Macaca fascicularis: one gene and its partners. The protein of the gene in region 2 purifies or fractionates together with the protein of the main gene of each other region. This does not show direct contact. Links are inferred from orthologs where the notes say so. Each region holds a gene or a part of one and is shown on either strand. Other genes may lie near its edges.

Region 1 (4,182 bases), on a different chromosome or scaffold from region 2:
CATATTGTGCAACCCACACACCACCACTCATCTCCAGAATCTAAATCATCCTAAACTGAAACTCTATTATTCACTGAAAAATAACTCCTCATTTCCCCTTCTCCTGGGCACCCTCTCCACCCCTGCTCTTGCTACCTTTCCAGCTTCTGTCTCTAGAAGTTTTGACTACTCTAGATACTTAATGTAAGTAGAATCATAATATTTGTCCTTTCATGTCTGGTTTATTTCACTTAGCTAAATCACTTTAATCAACACCCTGGTTATTCAGTAGCTGGATTCTAATTTGTATTCTACTCTATATGCTGTATTTTAAAACAAATGTCTTGCTTTGTAGTTCATAATCTTTCCACTTAATCCTTGAGGAGACTTCACTCTAGCAAATTATAAACTCAGAGTTTCTAAGAACAATTTAGCCTACCGGTGTCTCTCATAAAGAGCTTTCATTGATCTCCTTACTGAAAATGTCTTTAGACTGTGAATATTTTCATTCCACTACAGTTCATGGAACGTAGACGCTTCGTAAAATTCCACCTAGTATCTAAATAGAACTCAAGCAGGAATCAAACTTATTTGATCACCCAGGAAAAGAGTTTATTTGGGTTGCTGATATGAAGACTCTCTTTTTTGATACTATATAATCTCCCGATGTGAGATAGGGCTGAATTTGCTCTAAATAAAGAGCATTTTAAAAATAACAAAACTTATCTTTATCTGGGGGAAAGTGCAGGCTGGAAACTACCTGAGAGACGTGAAGGTTCTCTCACCTTTCCCTTGGAGCATCCCTGAGTCATTAGGGCTCTACCAACAAGTCGAGTACTGTTGGACAAGGCACTAATCATCTGGCGGTCTCGTTGGACTCCATTAGACCAGCCTGTATTTATAAACCTCGTTCACATCACAGCATACACAGAATATGGTACTGGTAGGGCACTTGGGTAAATTGACGAGGAAGCGCGCTCTGCACCTGGAACCTACGGGCCGCCTGGTGTCGCGCACGCGGGTGTGTACGCTCTCAACAAGCGATCCATCCGGCAGATCCGTTCCAGCTGACAGGCCACGGCCGTCTTACCGGGGACGAGCTAGGGCTCCCGCTGTTTCTGAAGTTCTAGCTCGGGGACGAGCTAGGACTCCCTCCTTGTAAGAAATAAGTTCTTTATATCATAAAGATAAGCAAAGAATAAAAAGGCACAAAGGCCGCAAGCAAAGCACACACTCAAAAACCGAACTACAGCACTCGACCCGCGCATTCTCCGCCGACCTTACGTCTCTTCCCAGCAGGCTCCAGGAACCACCGCGAGACTTCATCAATTATCGCGAGATTTATCGGCAGCCATCTTCTTGGGGGTGCTGGGAGGCAGGAAGACCCCCTGAATCGTTCCCATTGAGCTGCCCTTCGCCTTCGCTTTCTTTACTTTTGCCTTTTCGACGTAGCCAACAAGCACCTGGTCCCGAGGCCGAGAGAACGCCTGGGTCTAAGCGCGTGTCGCGCTTCCGGTCTGGGTAGATTTGCTGGGGAAGAGGGAAGGGGGAGGGCCCGGGCAAACCGTTGCTGCTTCAGCCCGGGCCAGGGTCCGGGGACGGGGAGCTCCTGGCATCCCGTGGATTTGCGGCCTGCGGCGGTCCTTGCAGAGCTGTTCACCGACCGGGGCCCGCGGGAACCTGCCACCGGCGCCTCCCACCGCGGCCCACGCGGGCGGCGCGCGGAGGAGGGGGCGGGGGCAGCGGCGGCTGTAGCGGCTGCGACCTGGGCGGGCGGAGGAGTGTGACGGGCCTTAGGGCCGCTGTGGATGGTTTCTAAAATGATCATTGAAAACTTCGAGGCACTCAAGTCCTGGCTCAGCAAGACTCTCGAGCCCATGTGAGTATCCGGGGGATATCTCTCTGCAGGGATGGCAGTGGGAGATAGGCGGATCCACAGATCTGTGCGGTTTCCCCGAGCGCCCACGGTGGAGGCCGAAGCGGTGAACGGAGGTCCCAGGGCTCTGTGGCTTTTCCTCCTCGTCCACCTCGCTTCTAGGTTCAAGATACCCCCAAGAGCCTGACTCGAGTTTTATTTTATTGCTGAGCTGGTCTCGTTTTCCCGTTATATGTAGACCGATTCCAACCCCCCACCCCCAATATTTTCCGAGGGCCTCAAAATCGGTTTTTAGTGAAACCGACTGTATTTTCCTTCCTACAGACTATTTTACCTTGTTTTTCTAAATGAAGTAGACGGCCTTTATTAGGGATTCGGGCAGTTCTAGCTTAAATCACTCACGTTTCACCTAAATACAATTCCTGAAAGCAAGGCCACGTCTCCCATGTGCTGTCTGGCTCATCTGCACCTCTCTTCACTGATTGAAGATGTAACAGGTGCTGAGGTGGCCAGTAAAATTCCCCTTTCCCGCCTACACGTTCGTTAGCTTGGAGAGGAGAAAGAAAATTGAATCTTCATACATATGGAATATTTAGCAGTTTTAAGTGGGATGCTATAGATAGACTTTGTGTTGGGGGGGCCTTAGAGTGCTGAAATAGTCTTAGATTGGAAAATTTAAGGAGTGTTTTCACGACTTGTTAATACTAAATATAACATGGACCAAGTGCTTTATCAGAATTGGTTGATTTATAATGCAATGAGGAAAATTCACGCATTTAATGAAGTTATTAGGTACCTACTATGTACTACGGGAGGCTTTGGGGATAGAGCTTTTAAATTCTAAAATTGACAAGAGATAAATCCAGATATTAATAGAGCTGTGACTATTTTAATAATCATGTAAAAGAGTGATTATGAGGGAGGCTACTTCACATTGGTCAAGGAAGGACTCTCAGAGAAGGTGACATTGGAGCAACATCTAAAGAAGAGAAGGGACCATCTGTGTCAAAGTCTTGGAAAAGAACGTTTCTTGCAAAAGGAAGAGCAAATGAAAGGCGCTGTAGCAGAAGTAATTGTGGTGTGTTTCAGGAAGAGAAAGGCCATTGTGGCTGCAAGGAGCCTTGTGATGAGGGAGAGAATGTAAGAGAAGTTGGACAAGTAGGTAGGGGCCACATCATGTATGGGAAGATGTGAGATGATTTAAAGCAGACAAGGACTGATTTAATTTTGTTTTTAGTCTGCCTATTTTGTAGCGACTGAGAGGACAAGAATGGAAGTAAGGAGACTATTCAGAAGGGTATTGTAGGCAGAGATGTGGCTAGTTTGCATTAGAATTTATTGTAGGCAGAGATGTGGCTAGTTTGCATTAGAGTGATGGTGGAGACAGGCAGATCCAAATACATTTCGTAAGTAAAATTAATGGATTAAATGTGGGAGATGAGGGAAAGGGAAATCAAGGGTGATGATCGCCTTAGATAAACCAAGCAACTGAATGGTTTATAGTAGAGAAGGCAGAGAACAGGTTAAGGAGAGAAGGAAAGGGGTTGGCTAGTTTTGATAATAAATACAGTAAGTATGAAGTCTGTGGGATACATCTAAGTGTGAGATCATTGAATGTATGAGTCTAGAACTCAGGACTGGAGAAATCTGGAGTCATGCAGATGGTATTTAAAACCATGACATTGTGGGAAATTTCCTACGAAAAATGTGTAGATAGGGAAGAGAAGAGGACCTAGTACTGAGGCAGGAGGAAAACTGGGCTTTATGTCATTAAAGAACAAGTGTGTGACAAAAGAGAGGAGTTTATGAAATGCTGCAGAATGCGTGAAAAAATGTAGGCAAATAGGTGGCCCTTAGATGTAGCAAAGTGGAAGTCGTTGGTAACCTTAGCAAAATAGTTTGACTGGAGTGGAGTTGTGCAGATGGAAGCCCTATTTCAGTGTATTGGAGGGTGGGCATCATAGTATAGGGGTGAGAAGAACTCTGGAGCAGAATGTCTGGTTTTGAATACTGCCGCTGCCGCTTACCAGCTGTATGATATTGGGTAAGTTACTTAACTCAGGGCTTCCATTTCCTCAACTGTAAAATTGGGAAAATAATGAATATATATTAAGGAAATCTTAGACTACTGCCTGGTGTGTAATTAGCATTCAGTAGTTATTAGGTGAACACAAAACTTATAAATGTTTTGGGTTGAAATAGCTTTCCTTTAGGCGTTCAGTTTCATATCAGATTTACTGCCGTATCCCCCCGTCTTACCTAAATGAGAAGACTGTAGCCACTTAGAGTGTATGCTTGTAATTTTTCTTTAGTCTTAATAAAACATA
Region 2 (4,215 bases):
AAAACAAAACAACACAAAAAAAGGGCTGGGTGTCAAGGCTCAGGCCTATAATCCTAGCACTTTGGGAGGCTGAGGTGGGTGAATGACCTGAGGTCAGGAGTTTGAGACCAGCCTGGCCAATAGGGTGAAACCCTGTCTCTACTAAAAAAAGAAAATACAAAAATTAACTAGATGTGGTGCTGTATGCCTGTAATCCCAGCTACTCGGGAGGCTGAGGCAGGAGAATTGCTTAGACCTGGGAGGCTGAGGTTGCAGTGAGCTGAGATTGCGCCACTGCACTCCAGCCTGGATGATGGAGTGAGACTCCATTTCTAAATAAATAAATCAATAAATAAAAAGAAAACCAAAACCAAGAATGATTCTAAAGGTGTTTAAAAAGACATGACAATTAAACGCCACAGATGATCCTTAATGGTAGACTAATTGGGAAAAAAAGAAAAGGGATATTACTTAGATATTTTGCAAAATTGAATATATATGGCCTGTATGTTACAGATGATTACATTGTATTAGCATGAAAGTTTCTTGGAGTGATCATGGAATTCTGATTACATGGGAGATTATCTTTGTTCCTAGTAGATATTTACCGAAATATTTACGGATAAAGGGTAACAGTGTCTACAAAAACTCAAATGATTCAGCAAAATAAACCATACACACAGACACATAGCAAATGTGGCAGAATGTTAAAAATTGGTGAATATGGGTTAATTTGGCTGTGAATTATATTTTTCTTGTAACTTTTCTATAAAGGTTTGATATTTTTGAATACAAAAAGTTAAAGGCTCTTCAAAATCCAAGCAGCTTTTCCTGCACTGTCTGTTTTACCATCCTTAGAGTAAGCCACCTTGTCAGTTGAAGATACAGTTGTGTGACCAAGGAGGGAGTTAATGGTCAGGATGCTTATCTTTCAAAAACTATTGTAATTATTTACATAAATAAGGGAACATTATAGTTATCTTTTTGTGCCACTATCAACTTGGTTCACATCTTTTATAGGCAGCCTGATAAGGTGGAGTTTGTCGACAGCCAGCCATGCCTGAATTTCGATCCTGGCTGGTTAAACTGTTTAACCTCGTTGGGACTCAGTTTGCTCATTGCAGGATGCAGAAAATAACTACTTGGTGTGATTGTTGTTTTGAATTGTTATACACATGGTGTTTAGGGAACCGGGTTTCAATTCATGTGCAAAACCATTGTCGTACTTTGAATGCTATCTGTATCTTTTCCTTCATTAAACTCATGCAATCCTGGAGGGCACGTAGAGGTGGGAGAGAAAATGACTTCTCCAAGGTCACACCGCTAATCGCGGACCCAGGTTTCCCAGCTTTTGGTCGTGTGCCCTTTCCACGCCCGCCGGAGAGGAGGAAGCGGCGCTCATGGGGATGCAAGGATGTAGAGGAGCAAAGGGAGAGAAGAGGCCGCGGGAAGAGAGGTGGTGCGAGACCCGCGGAGGCGCCGGCCAAGGAAGGGCGCATGGAGCGCCGGGCTGCGCGACCGGCCGGGGTGCGGAGGGGAGAGGCCGCGGCGGGGAGGGAGGGTCCCGCGGGTCCGGTGCCCAGGAGAGGCGGGCGGCCTGGGCCAGCCGCAGGAGCGCAGGAGGCGGAGGCCCGGGCCGCGGGCTGGGGTGGGGGAGGCCGAGGGCCAGCGCGGCCTTGGGCGGCGACCACCTCTGCACAGGTGGGTGGGGCGGGGGCGCGGGGCGCGCGACTCCGGGGTCCCGACCCCCGGGGCCGGCGGGTGGGGGCGGGGCGGGGGCGGGGCCGGCCAGGGGCGGGTCTTGCTGGGTCCCTGCTGGAGCGGCGGCGGTGGCGGCGCAGGCGCGGTTCCCGCCTCCTCCCGGCCGGCGGAGCGAGTGGAGGCTGCAGCCCGGCTCGTCTCGGCGCCCGCGTCGCCGCCGCCGCCGCAGCCGCCGCGAAGCCCCCCGCCCCGCTTCCGCCGCGTCGGAATGAGCTCCCGGAAAGGTGAGTGGCCTGCGGCGCGCCCTCTCCCCGCCACGCGGCCGGCCCTGGCGGGCGGCCCGACCGTTAATGTGTGTCTTCTCTTCCCCCAGTGCTGGCCATTCAGGCCCGAAAGCGGAGGCCGAAAAGAGAGAAACATCCGAAAAAGTGAGTCCACGCTGCGCCTGTCCCGGTTCCCCACCCCTGCCCCGTCGGGGGCGCCCGCGGCCGCGCAGGGGAAAGTTGTCCAGGTCCTCCGGCCGGGGGGCGGGCTGGTCTCCCGGGACGCCGGCGCTCGGCTCCTGCGCCCCGCGGGCGGCCCGGGGGGAGGGGCGGCGGCGGGGGAGGGGCGCGCGGGCCGCGGCCGGTTCCCGAGCATCACGGAGCCTCGACTCGGCGCCCTCCCGCCCCGGGTCGCCACTGGCCGGCGGGCGGGCGGGAGGCCGGCGGGGAGGCGCCGGGCGGGGCGTGCGCACCGGTCCCCTGCGCGCGAGCTGACCCGGGGGTCGCGGCCCTTTCTGGGAGGGGCTCCGGCCCGCCCGGTGCGGGAGTGCGGCGGCTGCGCTGCTCCCACCTGAGCCGGGGCGGAGGAGTCGGAGGGGCTGAGTGTGCGCGAGGGCGTGTGTCTCGCCTCCCCTTCCTCCCCGGCCCCCGCCTGTCGGCCTTTCTGCTGAGAACCGGAGCTGGTTGTCAAGTGGTTCGCCTCGGGCGTGTTCCTGGCGCGAGTTCAGCCCCGAGACCTGTGCGTTTCGGCTCTCTGGTTTGGATTCGAAACTTTCCGCTCGGGTCGAGCGTGACTTGGGTGCGCTGCGGGCGCCGGGGTCGCGGGCTGCGCGGGGCGGTGGGCGTGTGCGCCGGAGCCGGGCGGAGTGGAAAACGCGCCCGCGCTGGCCACCTCCAGTCTGGCCGCTCACCCGAGCCGGGGGGCCGCTGCCCGAGAACCCTTTCCTGGAGAGCTGCTCCGAGACCGCACAGCGCCGCCGCGTCTTCTCCTTTTCCACTCCTCTCTCCTTATTCTTTTGATTTACCAGCGTTCAACATCGTTATCTCTTCCTCTAGATTAATTGCTTCGCTCTTTTGAGCAATAATACTCCGTGTGACATCTTTGGTACTATGGGGAACGAGAGTCCAGCATCATCTTTAATAAAATCCAGAAACATTTTTGGTTGTTTCCTTTTTTCCCCTTCTCGTTGGCCTTGGTCCTTCAGAGTTTCACAAAATGTGGATAGTGACTTAAAAATAACTTTCTAAAAAAAAAAAAAATTAGAGTAAAGGGAAACACTTCTTAAAGACTTGAAGAACTAATTGGTGGGTAAAAATTTGATATTGAATTCATAAGATGTTAAAATGGACTGGATTTTTGGTAGCTTTAGATGCGTTTAAAAAAATTAGTGCTAGCTTTCAAGTGAATTACAACCTTAAATTTGAGATTTCCTTTGGTGAACCATGGAAGTTTACCCAGTGGTACGGGGAACTGTAATGTTTAGGATTCTGAATAAGTACTGGGTTTTAATCACAGCTCTGAATTCAAAGCATTGATTTAATTCCACATAGTCTGTTATATTCAGAAACATAAAAAGAAGTGGAAAAAGTGTGACCCCAGTGTCGGAGATGGCTATGTGTGCATGTGTATACAAACAGACACGTATGTGTGCATGTTACCTATATGTACAGGTAGAAAAACAGTTCTAATTAAGTCAGTATGTGTCTTGTATTTGCATATGTTAGGGTGTGATTTTCCTAATGGTCGAGGGCCTTTTTGGTGGGCCGCAGTTTGGATTTATGTGGTATGTTTATGAAGACTTAGTGAATAGCCACAGTACTCAGTTTATACTCTCACAGATTAATCTGCGAGTTTCTCCCACGGTGTGTTGTGTATGTGTGATAGAATTTGAGGGGGAAAATAACACACCAGCTAATAATGAAACGAACTGACTCTAGTCTGAAGGTAATGGGACCAGCCCAATTATGTAACTGATTGAGGCAATGCCATTTTTCACTTAACTCTTTGAATCAATACATTATTTTATTTAATTTTTTTTTGAGACAGAGTTTCGCTGTTGTCGCTCAGGCTGGAGTGCAATGGCCGGATCTTGGCTCACTGCAACCTCCGCCTCCCGGGTTCAAGGGATTCTCCTGCCTTAGCCTCCCGAGTAGCTGGGATTACAGGCACCCGCCACCCAGCCTAGCTAATTTTTTTTGTATTTTTTGTAGAGACGGGGTTTCACCATGTTGGCCAGGCTGGTCTGCAACTCTTGACCTCAGGTGATCCCCT
Region 3 (4,062 bases), on a different chromosome or scaffold from region 2:
TTACCCTAGAAGCTTCCTTTAGAAGTGCCAGAGATGTAGGAGGTATGCTTATCCGCCTTGTGACACAAAAATGGAAGCATAGTTAATAGATGAGAAAAGCATGACTCAGAATGATTTTCAATATTGGAATGTTGGGAATTTATGAGAGGTATTTTCGTGTAAGAATAATAGGACTTATTTAAAAGGTTTGGAGAGTGGGGGGCATCCCAGATGCGTGAGAAGCAGTATAGCTAATCGTTAGAAGTAGGTTTGCTGGAGTCAGGCTGCCTGGGTTCAAAGCCCACCTCTGCTGCCCCTTAGCTGCACAACCCTGGGCTGCTTTCGGGCCTTGCTGTGCCTTGGGTTTCCCCACGCACTTCATGAGGCAGTTGCAGGAATTAAACGAGTTAATATGTAGTCAACAGCTCTGAACACTGCTTGACTGAGTCAGCCCTACCTAACGTTTAATTTACGGGATGTGGCCCTGGGTTCCTTAAGGGAGCGGCCACACTATTCACAAACATTAAAGCAGTAAAGGCTCCATCCTCATCACCTTTCTCCTCTGTTGGACCCCACAGGACTGTCTCTCGCAACTGCTTCCTCCGCTCTCCTAAGGCACTCTGCGGAACCAGCGGCACCTCTTTCGCCTGAGATCAGGATTTCCCTTCTCCGCCCGTTTTGGGATTTAACAAGCACGAGAAAGGAAGCCTGCAGGGGAGCCGCGAGGGCCTCCTCACCACCGCCCGGGATCAGAGTGGGGGGCGTCACCCGCTCTACACCCAGAGCCCGGGCACGCCCCGCACGCGCGGCTCCCTCCTCCTCCGCGGGGCTCGCCGCGACCCCGGACGCCCAGACTCCCAGATACCCTCGACCCTCCGGACTCCTAAGCCCCGCATCCCCCAAATCCCAAGACCCCCCTCGAACCCTGGTCCAGGGCGGGTGGCTGGGGGCCTGAACTCGCTCCAGAAACCCGCAGGGCAGTCTGTCGGAAGCCTCTTCTTTACCCAGCATGAATTTAGTCTCCGCGCGCCCCCTAAAACCCAGGCGTCCTCTCCCCCGCGCCCTCGCTCCCGGGGCCCTCACACACTCTCCGCGGCGGACCTCCAGGCCGGGCGGGTGCGCTGTGCGACGCCGAAAGCGCCATAGAGCACGCAAGACACGTTTGGCTCCCGGAAGTGACGTACAGCAAGCGCCCGACGGCGGAAGTCCCTCCTGCTCCCGACGGCGGAAGTTCCGGGAGTGCCCAGTACCCGCGTGCATACGGCAGCCGGCATGGCGCACTACAACTTCAAGAAAATTACGGTGGTGCCGTCCGCCAAGGTAGGTGGCTCCGGGAGGGCCACTGCTACTTTCGCCTTCTCATTAGCGGGGTCTCAGGGGAGGGTCCGGGCCTGTAGCCGTGGGAGAGCGGTCGCCTTCCGCTCGCCCACCACCCGCTCCCGGGCCCGACCTGCCGGACGCGTACTCGAGATCATTTCCCCTCCCCCAGCAGAATCCGGGGTCCACCAGAGATCGGATCCCCCAGAGACCCGGGTCCACCTGAGACCGGGGTCCACCCAGAGACTGAGGGCCCCCAGAGATCGGGGTCCACCCAGAGTAGGGTTCCCTGGAGGGGCTCCGGGTGACGAGGTGGGCGAGTGGAGGGGACCCCAACATGTGAGGGAGGAAGCACTCCGTGGTCCGTGATGAGCCTTCAGATTCTGGATTTGGCGTAGCGCCCTCCCCTCTCAGGAATCCTCGGTTCGTTGCTATCGTGATTTAACATTTCTTAATTTTTAAGTCATTCTCTTTCACTGTTAGATTTGGGAACTCCTGTTCTTTTTAGACCATAGTAGGCCCAGACTAAATTTTTACAGCGTTGGTTAGTGTGGCAAGAATGAGTCAACAAGTGTTAAGTGTTAGAATTTTTTTTTTTTTTTTTTTCCCCGAGACAGAGTTTTCCGCTTTTGTTTCCCCGGCTGGAGCGCGATCAAGGCTCACTGCAACCTCCACCTCCCGGGTTCAAGCGATTCTCCTGCCTCAGCCTCCCGAGTAACAGGGATTACAGGCGTGCGCCACCACGCACGGCTAATTTTTGTGTTATTAGTAGAGACGGGGTTTCACCACGTTGGCCAAGCTGGCCTCGAACTCCTGATCCCAGGTCTCCCAGGGAGATCCCAGGGAGTTGGAGATCCATCGAACTCCCGCTCCGGCCTCCCAAAGTGCTGGAATTACTGGCGTGAGCCACCACACCCGGCCCTGGTATTACGGCTTTTTTAAGAAGTCATGTTTTTATGTAGTGAACATTCGATTTGGGTCGCAATTACAGAGACATTGACGGGCAACTCGAGCCTCTCAGGGACTGCTGCACGAGAGGGAGTTACTGAAGTCCCTGCAGAGTGACTGTTTTCCTCTCATCAGTGTCTCCTTTTCTTCACGTCTTAACAACGGAATGAGCTTGCCTTGGAAAGCTTTGTGGGAGTCTCGTATTTTACCTTCATAGCAATAATTGTTTCCCCACTTCTCTCCATTTCTCATTTCTTCCTGACAATTGTTGTGACACATCTCTTGATAGATTGTAGTATTTTCTTTCTTTCTTTCTTTTTGAGATGCAGTCTCGCTCTGTTGCCCAGGTTGGAGTGCAGTGGTGGATCTCATCTCACTGCAGCCTCCGCCTCCCAGATTCAAGTGATTCTCCTGCCTCAGCCTCCTGAGTAGCTGGGATTACAGGTGCAGGCCACCAGGCCTGGCTAATTTTTGTATTTTCAGTAGGATGGAGTTTCACCATGTTGGCCAGGCTGGTCTTGAACTCCTGATCTCAAGTGATCCACTTGCCTCAGCCTCCCAAAGTGTTGGGATTACAGGCATGAGCTACCGCGCCCGGCCAGATTGTAGTATTTTCCAGTGCAGGAATCATGTCTTATTTGTATTTTTGGTCAGCCATCTCTCAAGTTTGTTGAAGGAATTTGCTCTTTGGATTACATGAACTTTGTTCATGTTATTGACTTATGTGGAGAACTTTAGGATATGTTAGTACACCATCCATCTTCTGTGGAATGAGATTTGTATTTTTAGAGAACACATGAGTTTACTTACCTAAAAAATGGGTGATGGTAATTGTTTGGTGATTGGAAGTTAAAAAAAAAAAATCACATCAGGAAAGTGTGTGGTATTCAGTTCATTCTAGAAGCTGTTAAGTGAGTGCCTGTCCTATGCGTTGGGTACTGTGTTACAAAAATGCATTAGATAAAATACCTGCCTCTTTGGAAGTCGTTGTCAAGAGGGGTAAGTCGAGGCCGGCGCGGTGGCTCATGCCTGTAATCCCAGCACTTTGGGAGGCTGAGGCGGGCAGAGCACAAGGTCAGGAGATCGAGACCATCTTGGCTAACACGGTGAAACCCCGTCTCTACTAAAAATACAAAAAAATTAGCTGAGCGTGGTGGCAGGCACCTGTAGTCCCAGCTGCTGGTGAGGCTGAGGCAGGAAAGTGGCGTGAATCCAGGAGGCGGAGCTTGCAGTGAGCGGAGATTGTGCTGCCACTGCACTTCAGCCTGGGCGACAGAGCAAGACTCTGTCTCAAACAAAACAAAACAAAACAAAATAAAAAAGGGTAAGTGGCATCATGAATGACCATACTAGAAATGAAACATTGTTATCATGGAGGACCCACATGGATTGGGAGAGAAGAGTGCAGTTAGCTGTGGTAAGTTGGAGAGTCAGGGGCGATCTTATGAAGTAGGTAACCTTTGAACTGGTCCCCCTTCAGGATGTGTGAACGCCATTAGGTGCAGAAAAATGTAGGGAAGAACTTCTGTAGGCCCAGAGGGAAGACCGTGTGTGCCCCTCATAGTACATGGAAGACTGTTGTGACCACCTGTTTACTTGTCTCACTTGTAGACCCAGAGGGGAGACGGTGCGTGCCCCTCATAGTATAATACTTGGCAGACTGTGTTGTGCCTACGTGTTTACTTCTGTCACTGGACCCTGAATTCCGTGAAGGAAGGGACAGTATCTTGTTCATTATCTTCAGCACCCAAGTATCCTTAACAACCTTTGTTTGAAATGATATTGAGTTAATCAAATTGTTGAATTAATCAAAGTGTT

The links. The genes of interacting proteins can lie anywhere in the genome.
Region 1: the proteins of SRPK2 (region 2) and RBM26 purify together in Homo sapiens (co-immunoprecipitation; 3 studies listed by BioGRID and IntAct, with this or other methods). This does not show direct contact. The link is inferred for Macaca fascicularis from reciprocal best matches to the Homo sapiens genes SRPK2 and RBM26.
Region 3: the proteins of SRPK2 (region 2) and GTPBP4 purify together in Homo sapiens (affinity purification with mass spectrometry; 3 studies listed by BioGRID and IntAct, with this or other methods). This does not show direct contact. The link is inferred for Macaca fascicularis from reciprocal best matches to the Homo sapiens genes SRPK2 and GTPBP4.

Annotation. Positions count from the first base shown.
Region 1 is NC_088391.1:70,464,839-70,469,020, reverse strand, and holds the start of RBM26 (RNA-binding protein 26), read left to right. Parts: upstream 1-1,328; 5' UTR 1,329-1,787; coding exon 1,788-1,858; intron 1,859-4,182. UniProt on the Homo sapiens protein: May be involved in the turnover of nuclear polyadenylated (pA+) RNA.
Region 2 is NC_088377.1:146,914,745-146,918,959, reverse strand, and holds the start of SRPK2 (SRSF protein kinase 2), read left to right. Parts: upstream 1-1,358; 5' UTR 1,359-1,379; coding exon 1,380-1,506; intron 1,507-1,831; exon of another isoform or gene 1,832-1,948; coding exon of another isoform or gene 1,949-1,964; intron 1,965-2,053; coding exon 2,054-2,108; intron 2,109-4,215. UniProt on the Homo sapiens protein: Serine/arginine-rich protein-specific kinase which specifically phosphorylates its substrates at serine residues located in regions rich in arginine/serine dipeptides, known as RS domains and is involved in the phosphorylation of SR splicing factors and the regulation of splicing.
Region 3 is NC_088383.1:1,341,208-1,345,269, forward strand, and holds the start of GTPBP4 (GTP-binding protein 4), read left to right. Parts: upstream 1-1,208; 5' UTR 1,209-1,251; coding exon 1,252-1,299; intron 1,300-4,062. UniProt on the Homo sapiens protein: Involved in the biogenesis of the 60S ribosomal subunit. Acts as a TP53 repressor, preventing TP53 stabilization and cell cycle arrest.